Linked DNA regions of Ovis aries. The protein of the gene in region 1 interacts with the protein of each later gene in a pairwise test. Links are inferred from orthologs where the notes say so. Each region holds a gene or a part of one and is shown in the gene's direction. Other genes may lie near its edges. The genes, in order: COPB2, COPA and COPB1.

Region 1 (3,653 bases):
TAAAAGGCACTGTTTTAAGTGTATCAGCGAATTTGGACAAATGGATGTAACCTATAACCACCAGCACAGTCAACATTTCTGTCACCTCAAAACCAATCCCCTTGTTTCTCTTACAGTCAGCATCCCACCCTTGTTCCCCACTAGATTAGATTTGTCTTCTTTAGGATTTCGTCAGTGGAGTTGTGCGGTATGTACTTGTCGTCTGGCTTGTTTTGCTCAGCATAATGTATTTGAGCTGCATCCATGTTGTTACATGGGCTTCCCAGATTGCTCAGTGGTAACGAATCTGCCTGCAATGCAGGATATGTGCGGGTTTGATCTCTTATCTGGGAAGATCCTCTGGAGAAGGAAATGGCTACCCACTCCAGTATTTTTACCTGTGGAATCCCATGGACAGAGGAGCCTGGCAGGCTACAGTCTGGGGCTGCAAAGGGTCAAACACGACTGAGCGACTAAACAGCAGCTTGTTGCATGGATCTATAACTGGCTCCCTTTTGGGCAGAGTAGTAGTCCATTTTATGCGTAGACGACAGTTGGTTTACTCATTCACCTGTTGAAGGACATTTGGATCTTATAAAATGGTTTGTAAGCCCTAGTAATTTGTATAATAGACATTGTGAAGCCTGTTCATTATTTGTCCAACTGTAAGCAGTTCACTGATCTCTTAGGAAAAAAATATATTAGTGAATCTTCAGATATTAATTTTATATTTTTGTGTAATTCACTACTTAAATACATGTGAAGATACTTGTAATATTTGGTGGAATTACAGTTTAGTGTATATGTAATAGGTTATGATTGCTTTCCTTTTCCCCACAGATATGCAATAAGAGAGAGCAACAGTGTTGTAAAGATATTTAAGAACTTTAAGGAAAAAAAATCATTTAAACCAGACTTTGGAGCTGAAAGTAAGTGCTGTTTATATTTGATACAATTTTAGAAACTTTGTAATCGCTCAAAAACATCTAAAGATCTGAAAATATTTTGTTGTTCTTTGTAGGTATCTATGGAGGCTTCTTACTGGGAGTCAGGTCTGTAAATGGTTTAGCTTTCTATGACTGGGAAAATACGGAACTCATACGCAGAATTGAAATTCAACCCAAACACGTGAGCTTCCGTCTTTGCTATTGTTGGAATGTACCTCTTTGTGACAAACTCTGGGTCCCTGAGGCCAAGAAATACCCTGGTACCCTGCTGTCCCTGTCCCATTGTGCTGGACATGGGGCCATTTACCTCAGGATTGCGTTAAAAAGGAAGATTGGGGTATTTGAATAAGGCAGTAGATGTTGGGCTTTTTGAAAAGTATAAAGAGCTGTACAGATACCAAGTGCTAGTCTTATTTTAAATGGCTTTAATGCTTTGAAGAGGAAAAGTCAATGAGTTCTTGGCGTGGCAAGACCTGCAAGTCTCCCACTCAGTTCAGAAAGCCTTTGCCTACGTTACCTGATAACGGCTATTTAAACTTTAGGTGGCCTTTCACCAGCGACAGTTTTCTACCTTTAGATCTGCCTGCTTCTTTGAGAGCTTTCATTGTCAGGAAGTTATCTCTGGAGACAGGTATCTCCCAGGGTCCTAGTTCTGAGTTCTAGAGTCTGCATTCTCAGCAAGGGGGGCATCATCCTTAAGGAGACAGACATCAGTTCCTGAAACCAGTCGATGAGAAAAAGTACTCTGTTCTGTCTGTAAAGCATAGATGTTCATATGTTCATACATGTTACGAGCTTGTGTACTGTGTGTATGTTTATGTATTACATAATGTATAGATGGATAGTGGGCGTCCCTGGTGGCTCAGTCAGTAACGAATCTGCCTGCAATATAGGAGACCTGAGTTTGATCCCTGAGTTGGAAAGATCCCCTGGAGAAGGGAACGGCTACCCACTCCAGTATTCTTGCCTGGAGAATTCCGTGGACAGAGGAGCTTGGCAGGATACTCTCCATGGGGCTGCAAAGAGTCGACATGACTGAGCAGCTTTCACTTTCAGATGTGTAGTATCTGTGATAATAAAACTTGATAAAGGAAAGCGATTGGGAAACAATGCCTAAAAAAGGTTTGGGGTGGGGGTCATAATGGGGGTGGGAGGGAGGGAGAAACACTGTTGAAGAGCAGCTGGGAATATTCTCGTGCTCCTCTGAATCTCAGTGCACCCGGGACCTACTGCCAGCATTTCTTCCTGCCTCCCTTAGGGCTTTCCATTTCTGTACATAAAGTAGCAGCGCCCTGTCCACCCTCCCAAATGTGTGTGTGTGTGTACATATATATGTATCAGATTAAGTGCTTACTTATTATCCTAATGTAAGAAGATAAGTCTTGTAGGAAACAGCATATGCAGTTTGTCACATTCATATAGACTCTAAAATCGTTTATCTGGGTTTTTGTTTGTCATGTCACAGATTTTCTGGTCTGACTCTGGAGAGCTAGTCTGTATCGCAACTGAGGAGTCATTTTTTATCCTTAAATATCTGTCAGAAAAAGTCTTGGCTGCACAGGAAACACATGAAGGAGTTACTGAAGATGGCATTGAAGACGGTTTTGAGGTAATTGCATCAATAAAACTTCAGCTTTGTTTTTAAATGAATTATGTACTTACAGCTGAACTTCACTCATTGTAACATTTTATTATAAATTAGGTTTGGGAAAACTTAATAAACATTTAAGGGGTTACGGTAAAATGTGAAAATTAAAGTCTTGGCTCAAAGATCAGGGTCTGAAAGTATTTGTTAAAAGAGATTTGTGCTTTGATTATAGGAAATCTTTAGACCAACTTTGACAGTTTTTCAGTAAGGAAGTTAGAAGTTGTTATGGTCCTAAGACAGTTTAGCTAGAGTTATTTAAAATGGGTTTTCAAGCAGAGGGAGCCTAGCCTGGTGCTCTTCGATGACTTAGAGGGGTGGAACTTGGCGGGGAAGGGATGGGAGCTCAAGAGGGAGAAGATATATATATTCATTATGGCTGATTCACTTTGTTGCACCACAAAAACCAATACAATATTGTAAAGCAATTTTCCTCCATTTAAAAAGTAAATTAAAATAAGAGAGTCTATAATTATCTTTAAAAAAATAAATTAAATGAACTTCCAAATATAAAGATAAATCATCCATGGTGGAGGTATCTTAGAAGATTTTATGAAGTACTTATTATGCCAGTCTCATGTATGTTAGGAATTTCGATCAGCACTTTCTTAGATTATAGCTTTGGCTCAACGGTGAGACTTAACATTATAGGTGCTCATCCAGGAATCTGTTCTTAAATGAATAAAGAAGATAGACATTCCAAGAAAGATTTTCTTTCTTGAAGTAGGATTCTTTCTTTGCATCTCTTTCTCTATCTGTCACCCCTAATTATATTCAGCTTTTTATTATTGACAGTTTGTTATTTGTTGTTGAATAAGATAATAACAGGCTTCATTTTCTTTCTGTAGGTTCTTGGTGAGATTCAGGAAATTGTGAAAACAGGGCTGTGGGTAGGCGATTGCTTCATTTACACAAGTTCTGTGAACAGATTAAATTATTATGTCGGAGGAGAAATAGTCACCATTGCCCACTTGGACAGGTAGCTGACTATCATTTTGCTTTTGTTTTTAACATCCTAAATTTAAAAGTATACTTTAAAAATAAAACCAGTTGCTGGCTTGTTACAATGATAGGCCTGGTTT
Region 2 (3,653 bases), about 140 Mb from region 1:
GAGAATATCCTTTAGAATTTGTTGGAGAGCTGGTTTGGTGGTGCTGAATTCTCTCAGCTTTTGCTTGTCTGTAAAGCTTTTGATTTCTCCTTCGTATTTGAATGAGATCCTTGCTGGGTAGAGTAATCTGGGCTGTAGGTTATTGTCTTTCATCACTTTAAGTATGTCTTGCCTCCTGGCCTGAAGAGTTTCTATTGAAAGATCAGCTGTTATCCTTATGGGAATCCCCTTGTGTGTTATTTGTTGTTTTTCCCTTGCTGCTTTTAATATTTGTTCTTTGTGTTTGATCTTTGTTAATTTGATTAATATGTGTCTTGGGGTGTTTCGCCTTGGGTTTATCCTATTTGGAACTCTCTGTGTTTCTTGGACTTGGGTGATTATTTCCTTCCCCATTTTAGGGAAGTTTTCAACTATTATCTCCTCAAGGATTTTCTCATGATCTTTCTTTCTGTCTTCTTCTTCTGGGACTCCTATAATTCGAATGTTGGAGCGTTTCATATTGTCCTGGAGGTCTCTGAGATTGTCCTCGTTTCTTTTAATTCGTTTTTCTTGTTTCCTCTCTGATTCATTTATTTCTACCATTCTATCTTCTATTTCACTAATCCTATCTTCTGCCTCCATTATTCTACTATTTGTTGCCTCCAGAGTGTTTCTGATCTCATTTATTGCGTTATTCATTATATTTTGACTCTTTTTTATTCTAGGTCCTTGTTAAACCTTTCTTGCATCTTCTCAATCCTTGTCTCTAGGCTATTTATCTGTGATTCCATTTTGATTTCAAGATTTTGGATCATTTTCATTATCAATATTCGGAATTCCTTCTCAGGTAGATTCCCTACTTCTTCCTCTTTTGTTTGGTTTGGTGGGCAACTCTTCTGTTCCTTTACCTGCTGAGTATTCCTCTGTCTCTTCATCCTGGTTATATTGCTGCATTTGGGGTGGCCTTTTTATATTCTGGTAATTTGTGGAGTTCTCTTTATTATGGAGCTTCCTCACTGTGGGTGGGGTTCTATCAGTGGCTTGTCAAGGTTTCCTGGTTAGGGAGGCTTGTGTTGGAGTTCTGGTGGGTGGAGCTGGGTTTCTTCTCTTTTTAGATGCCACCAGCTGATCCATCCAGTACGCTAATCTGAGTTGACCAATGAAGGCAAAGTCTTTCCCTGCTGTAGCAAACCTTGGTCAAGTTCCTTGAACTATGTCCTTCAATTTTCTCATCTGTGATACATCTGCACTGAGGACTTGGTTGTGTCTACCTGTTCAAGGCTTTTATCCTTCATTTAAATAAGTTATCCTTGTTCTTTTATTATAGGAGTTCTTTATTTATTTGAATATCGATCCTTTGTGATGGCAATGTATTACAAATACTAATATCACCTCCCATTCTGTTGCATATTTTTTGATTCTTTTGAGATCCTTTAATGAACAGATGTTCTTAATGTAGTTGAGTTTATGCATCTTATCATTTATGGATATCAAGTTTTGTGTCCTATTTAAGAAATCTTTATTGACTCCAAGATCATAAGAACATTCTTTTACCTCTTCCTATGACAACTTTATAGTTTTGCCTTTTGCATCTAGGTCTATAATCTACCTGAAGTTGATTTTTGTATATAGTGTAAGGTGTAGTGAGTGGGCTCAGCTTTACTTTTTCATAAGGACACTCAGTTTTGTACCAACATCATGTATTGAAAAATACCAACTTTTCCCCATAGTTCTGCAGAGCTATCTTTGTGATATATGAATCACATTTACAGAAATACAAAGATGTGTTTTCTTGTGGTCTTTTGTCTATCTATGATCGAATTCTGCATTGTCTTGAGTGTTATCGTTTTGTAAGTCTTTACATCTGGTAAAAGAAAGTGAAAGTATTAGTCTCTCAGTTGTGTCTGACTGTCTCAGGGGACTATAGCCCCCAGGCTCCTCTGTCCATGGAATTCTCCAGGCAAGAATATTGGAGTGGGTTGCCATAGTAGGTCCACAAATCTTTTCCACTTTAATTTTAGTTTATTAGGCTATTTTCAAATAATTTGAATTTCTCTATTGTATTTTTGTTTTCTATTTCTTAATTTCTACTATTGGCTTTATTTTTTTCCTTCCAAGTATATTCTTTGTTTTAACTTTTAAAAGAACAATAAAATTTTTGAGATGGATACTTATTAATTTTTAGTCTTTATCCTAATATTAAACATATAGAGCTCATTAATTTTTGAGTATTCTAATATGTGAGTACTTAACATTATAAATTATCCTTCAAGTATTGTGTTAGCTACAGTCACAAGTTTTCATTTGTAAACTTTTAATTTTCGTTTAGTTTAAAACATCACATGCCTTGCGTCATTTCTTTGTCAGGAGTCTTCACATGTACCTGTCTTCTGCTCTCACTCACAGCTTATAAGGAAGGATTGACCTGTTCATGGTGGTCTAGTGGTGCTTCCCTGGTGGCTCAGTGGTAAACGAATCTGCCTGCAGTGCAGGAGACCCGGGTTCAGTCCCTGGGTCCGGAAGATCCCCTGGAGGAGGGCATGCCAACCCAATCCAGTACTCTTCTAGAGAATCCCATGGACAGAGGAGCCCGACAGGCTACAGTCCCTAGCGTCAGAGAGTCGGACACAACTGAAGTGACTAAGCAGTTGCAGCAGTGGTCTAGTGATTCTATATCAGAACTTAAGATTCTTAACTTTCAGGTCTGGTTCTGATAGCTGTGTCTCTTAGATTGTAGAGTATTAGCTTATAAAGAGAAATCATACCATCTGCCCCATCTTTTCCCACTTCACACAAGAGAATAAAATAAGTCTGGCATTTAGTTCTGCTCTTTTTTGATTTCACTTCACATCTATACCATTGTTCAAATGGCACTTGAGAAAGGGATAATGAGAAGATAAAAGACTAGGTACTAGACTTGTCTTACTTCCATATAGGCTGGATTTACCCATGCATTTGCTGAAAATTGTGCTTTTTAACTCTTATTCTTAGGGACTATGGGATCATCCGAACTCTGGATTTACCTATCTACGTCACGCGGGTGAAGGGCAACAATGTATATTGCCTGGACAGGGAGTGTCGTCCTCGGGTGCTCACCATTGATCCCACTGAGTTCAAGTTCAAACTGGCCCTGATAAACAGAAAATATGACGAGGTATGAAATGAGGAAGCATATTAGGAGTATTGAGAGGGGCAGTGCTCCTTTTTTCCTATAAATGATCTCTATTTCCTGCCTACCCCACCCCAAATGTCTAGGTGCTACACATGGTGAGGAATGCAAAACTCGTAGGCCAGTCTATCATTGCTTATCTTCAGAAGAAGGGATATCCTGAAGTGGCGCTGCATTTCGTCAAGGATGAGAAAACTCGCTTCAGTCTGGCACTGGAGTGTGGAAACACCGAGGTGAGAGAAGTAGTTATAAGCCCCGTATTGTGGTAGAGGAGGCGAAGGGGTTCCCGTGGCCTTGGGAAGACATTATTCTGGGCTTGCTTCTTCAGCCCGTGTAATGAATTTTAGGATTTTTTAAGTCATTGAGCCATCTTCCTGTTGCTTATTTGCCCATTTTTGCTTCTGCCACAGCATTTCTACTGTTGTTGTCATTCTGAGTTAGTCTGAATTCAGTAACTTTTACAACAGAAGCACGATAGCATAGAATTGGAAAAATCTCATTGTTT
Region 3 (3,653 bases), on another chromosome or scaffold:
TAGTCAATTTTCTTCTAAATATTTTTTAATGAGAAAAAAGTTATACTTAAGTGTTTTTAATTTTTTGTATACATGCAGATTTCTATCTGATATTTTCTTCCTGCCTGAAGGAGTTGATTATTCTTATAATGCAGGTCTGCTGATGATGAATTCTCTCAGCTTTCATTTGCCTGAAAAAAAATCTTTGCTTTCATTAAAAAAAATCACTTTGTGGTAAAACTGAGTGTTTTTTATTTTATTTTTAGTCATATCTTTTTTCACATTGCTAAAATAAGGAGTGATGTAATGAAGATTAATGAGAAAAAAATCAGTCATGGTTAAAACACTGAAGTACAAATCTTATTAATATTGTAGTGGAGATAGAAACATCAAAAAATAGGATTACATTCAGTTCAGTTCAGGTCAACGAAAACCTTTTGTCAGAGTTTATTATGACTTTTATCTTTGAAACACTTTTTCCCTAGTAGAGATCATTTTGTGTATTACCATATTGTAGTTCCATTTAACTTTATAACATTTTCCCTATGCTCTTCTAAACCCTTCCTAATCATAATAATATTCAATAGCTCCATAATAATCCATTAGATTCTTTCATGTAGTCAGACCTGCATATAAGATGACACTTTATTTTTAGATTAGGGATTTTTGAAGGATTTTTAAAAAAATGTCCATCATATATAGCTTTACTCATAAATCCATAAGATTCAGAAGATCAGGTAAATTATAAGATGTTTTATCTCTTGTTAATCAATTACTTTTATTTATGAGGAGTAACTTACTTTGTAATTCTCTGAGGGCCCTTATTTATTTATTTAGGTCTCGTCTGTTCTTTAAATTATGCTTCTTAAAAATCTCCAACATTTTATGTCTTGGTTCTGCAAGTTGGGAGAGCATTTGCTGGAATCTGTTTAAGAGAACCAGCTTTCTGGTAACATACTAGTTCAAGAAATTTGCCACCTTTGGTACAAGGCAGAAGGAAGTTTGGTTGTTCATCACCGTGCTGTCTTGGCTTTCCTTCATTTATGCCTTTTCCAACACACTTCATTTCTTAATGTAGATCTGACTTTCTCGCTGGTATCATACACCTTTTGCCTAAAGAATTTGCTTTAACTTCTCTTGTAGTGCAGATCTGTTGACAGTTAATTCTTTAGGTTTTTGTTTGTCTGAAAAAGCCCTTATTTCTCCTTCAGTTTTGAAAGATATCTTTGTAGGTATAGCATTCTAGGTTGACAGTTTTTTCTTTTAGCACTGTAAAGATGTTGCTTCATTGTCCTCTGGCTTTCCATACTATCAAGATGTTGCTCTTGTGCCTCTTTGTGGAGTGTGTCCTGTTTTCCTCCAGCTGGTTTTGGGTTTTCTCTTTATCACTATAATTAGAATTTCAGGTTTCAGTCATTTGATTAGGATATGCTTTAGTGTGCTTTTCTTTATGTTTCCTTTGCTTATGGTTCATTGAGCTTCTTAAATATGTAGTTTTATAATTTTTATCAAATGTGAGAAATTTTTGGTTATTATTTCTTTAGCTACTTTTCTCTGTCTCCCCTTCTCTTTCCTTGTGGAGACCATATCTGGACACAAAGGATTATTAGATTTATTCTTCCCCAGGCTTCTGATAATTTTTTCATATATGTATGCTGATCACAATGTGTAGATACATTTACATCACAATGGTGGAAAACAATATGGAAAACCAAGGGACTGGTCTAGATTAAAAGGAGCTAAAGAGAATAATAATCAAAATGCATGAACCTGATCCTGGATTTAAAAAAAAAAAAAAAATCTTGTGACAATTAGTAAGATTTAGTTGAATTTGGAGTGTAGTAGATATAGTTGGGAATTGTTACGTTTTTTAGGTGAGATAATGATATTATGATTATCCAGGAAACTGTCCTGAATCAAGAGATGTTTGCTAAAGCACTTATGAAGTAAAGATTCTTGCTTTCATACGTTAAGCCAAAAAAATTGTTGTTGTTGTTTAGTTGCTAAGTCAGAAGTCTGACTCTTTGTGATACCGTGGACCACCAGGCTCCTGGGATTTCCCAGACTAAAATACTGGAATGGGTTGCCATTTCCTTCTCCAGGGGAACTTCCCAACCCAGAGATTGAATCCACACTCGTGCATTGCAGGCAGATTCTTTACCATTGAGCCACCTCAGAAGCCCAAGTCAAAAAAATAAATGTACATATATGGTTAGAGTAAGAACACAGTTTTGGCAGAATATTAACAATTGGTGAAGTGTATCATTCTTGGGCTCCAAAATCAATGCAGACCGTGACTGCAGCCACGAGATTAGAAAGACACTTGCTCCTGAAGAATAGCTATGACACACCTAAACAGTGTATTAAAAAGCAGAGACATCCCTTTGCCAACAAAGGTCCATATAGTCAAAGCTATGATTTTCTGGTAGTTGTGTATAGATGTGAAAGTTGAACCATGAAGAAGACTAAGAGTTGAAGAATTGATGTTTTCGAACTGTGGTGCTGGAGAAGACTCTTGAGAGTCCCTTGGACTGCAAGGAGATCAAACCAGTCAATCCTAAAGGCAGTCAACTCAGAATATTCGTTGGAAGGACTGATGCCAAAGCTGAAGCTCCAATACTTTGACCACCTGATGCAAAGAACAAATTGGAAAAGACCCTGATGCTAGGAAAGATTGAGGCAAGAGGAGAAGGGGGCAACAGAGGATGAGATGGTTGGATGGCATCACTGACTCAATGGATATGAGTGAGCAAACTCAGGGAAATAGTGAAAGACAGGGAAGCCTGGCAGGCTGCAGTTCATGGGGTCACACACAGTCAGACATGACTTGGAGACTGAACAGTAACAAAAAATCATTCTTTTATCTTTCTGAAGTTGGAAAGTATAAGAGAAAATAGAGGAAGAGAAAAAAGTTTTTAAATCTCTGCTCTCTATCAGTTGAGGGTTAATGAAGGTTTTAGAGGGTGGCAGGAAGGAAAAGGGTGTAAAAAATAAAATCTAAAATATTCAGGTTAAGTGATATTAGGTTTAATTTCTTGAATTTTGAGTTATATTAAAGTGACGTTATTGCATTTGTAGAAGCCTGACAATAAATAAACCGTTTCTCTCCTTGTCTAGTCTTTTGTTGCTGAAGCAATGTTGCTCATGGCCACTATCCTACATTTGGGAAAATCCTCTCTTCCTAAGAAGCCGATTACAGACGATGATGTAGATCGAATCTCCTTGTGCCTCAAGGTCTTATCTGAATGTTCACCTTTAATGAATGACATTTTCAATAAGGAATGCAGACAGTCCCTTTCTCACATGTTATCTGCTAAACTTGAAGAAGAAAAATTATCCCAAAAGGTAAGGTATATATATGATAAAGGCATAAAAGTGCTTTGTGTTCTTTGTTGTTGATTTTTCAGTTCTCATATGTGAGGAGTGTCTATGTTGAAGGCCTCCAAAAATTATCGTTTTTTCCAAATTAAAGAGAGTTGATATATTGTTTTTGCAACACAGAAAGAATCTGAAAAAAGGAATGTGACAGTACAGCCTGATGACCCAATTTCCTTCATGCAACTAACTGCAAAGAATGAAATGAACTGCAAGGAAGATCAGTTTCAGCTGAGTTTGCTGGCAGCAATGGGTAACACACAGAGAAAAGAAGCCGCAGATCCCCTAGCATCTAAACT

What was found.
Region 2: the proteins of COPB2 (region 1) and COPA interact in a two-hybrid assay, tested with the Homo sapiens proteins (2 studies listed by BioGRID, with this or other methods). The link is inferred for Ovis aries from reciprocal best matches to the Homo sapiens genes COPB2 and COPA.
Region 3: the proteins of COPB2 (region 1) and COPB1 interact in a two-hybrid assay, tested with the Homo sapiens proteins (2 studies listed by BioGRID, with this or other methods). The link is inferred for Ovis aries from reciprocal best matches to the Homo sapiens genes COPB2 and COPB1.

What each region holds. Positions count from the first base shown.
Region 1 is NC_056054.1:250,337,948-250,341,600, forward strand, and holds part of COPB2 (coatomer subunit beta'), read left to right. Parts: intron 1-819; coding exon 820-908; intron 909-1,000; coding exon 1,001-1,107; intron 1,108-2,391; coding exon 2,392-2,535; intron 2,536-3,419; coding exon 3,420-3,550; intron 3,551-3,653. UniProt on the Homo sapiens protein: The coatomer is a cytosolic protein complex that binds to dilysine motifs and reversibly associates with Golgi non-clathrin-coated vesicles, which further mediate biosynthetic protein transport from the ER, via the Golgi up to the trans Golgi network.
Region 2 is NC_056054.1:111,321,214-111,324,866, reverse strand, and holds part of COPA (coatomer subunit alpha), read left to right. Parts: intron 1-2,970; coding exon 2,971-3,133; intron 3,134-3,234; coding exon 3,235-3,381; intron 3,382-3,653. UniProt on the Homo sapiens protein: The coatomer is a cytosolic protein complex that binds to dilysine motifs and reversibly associates with Golgi non-clathrin-coated vesicles, which further mediate biosynthetic protein transport from the ER, via the Golgi up to the trans Golgi network.
Region 3 is NC_056068.1:38,004,031-38,007,683, forward strand, and holds part of COPB1 (coatomer subunit beta), read left to right. Parts: intron 1-3,096; coding exon 3,097-3,324; intron 3,325-3,480; coding exon 3,481-3,653. UniProt on the Homo sapiens protein: The coatomer is a cytosolic protein complex that binds to dilysine motifs and reversibly associates with Golgi non-clathrin-coated vesicles, which further mediate biosynthetic protein transport from the ER, via the Golgi up to the trans Golgi network.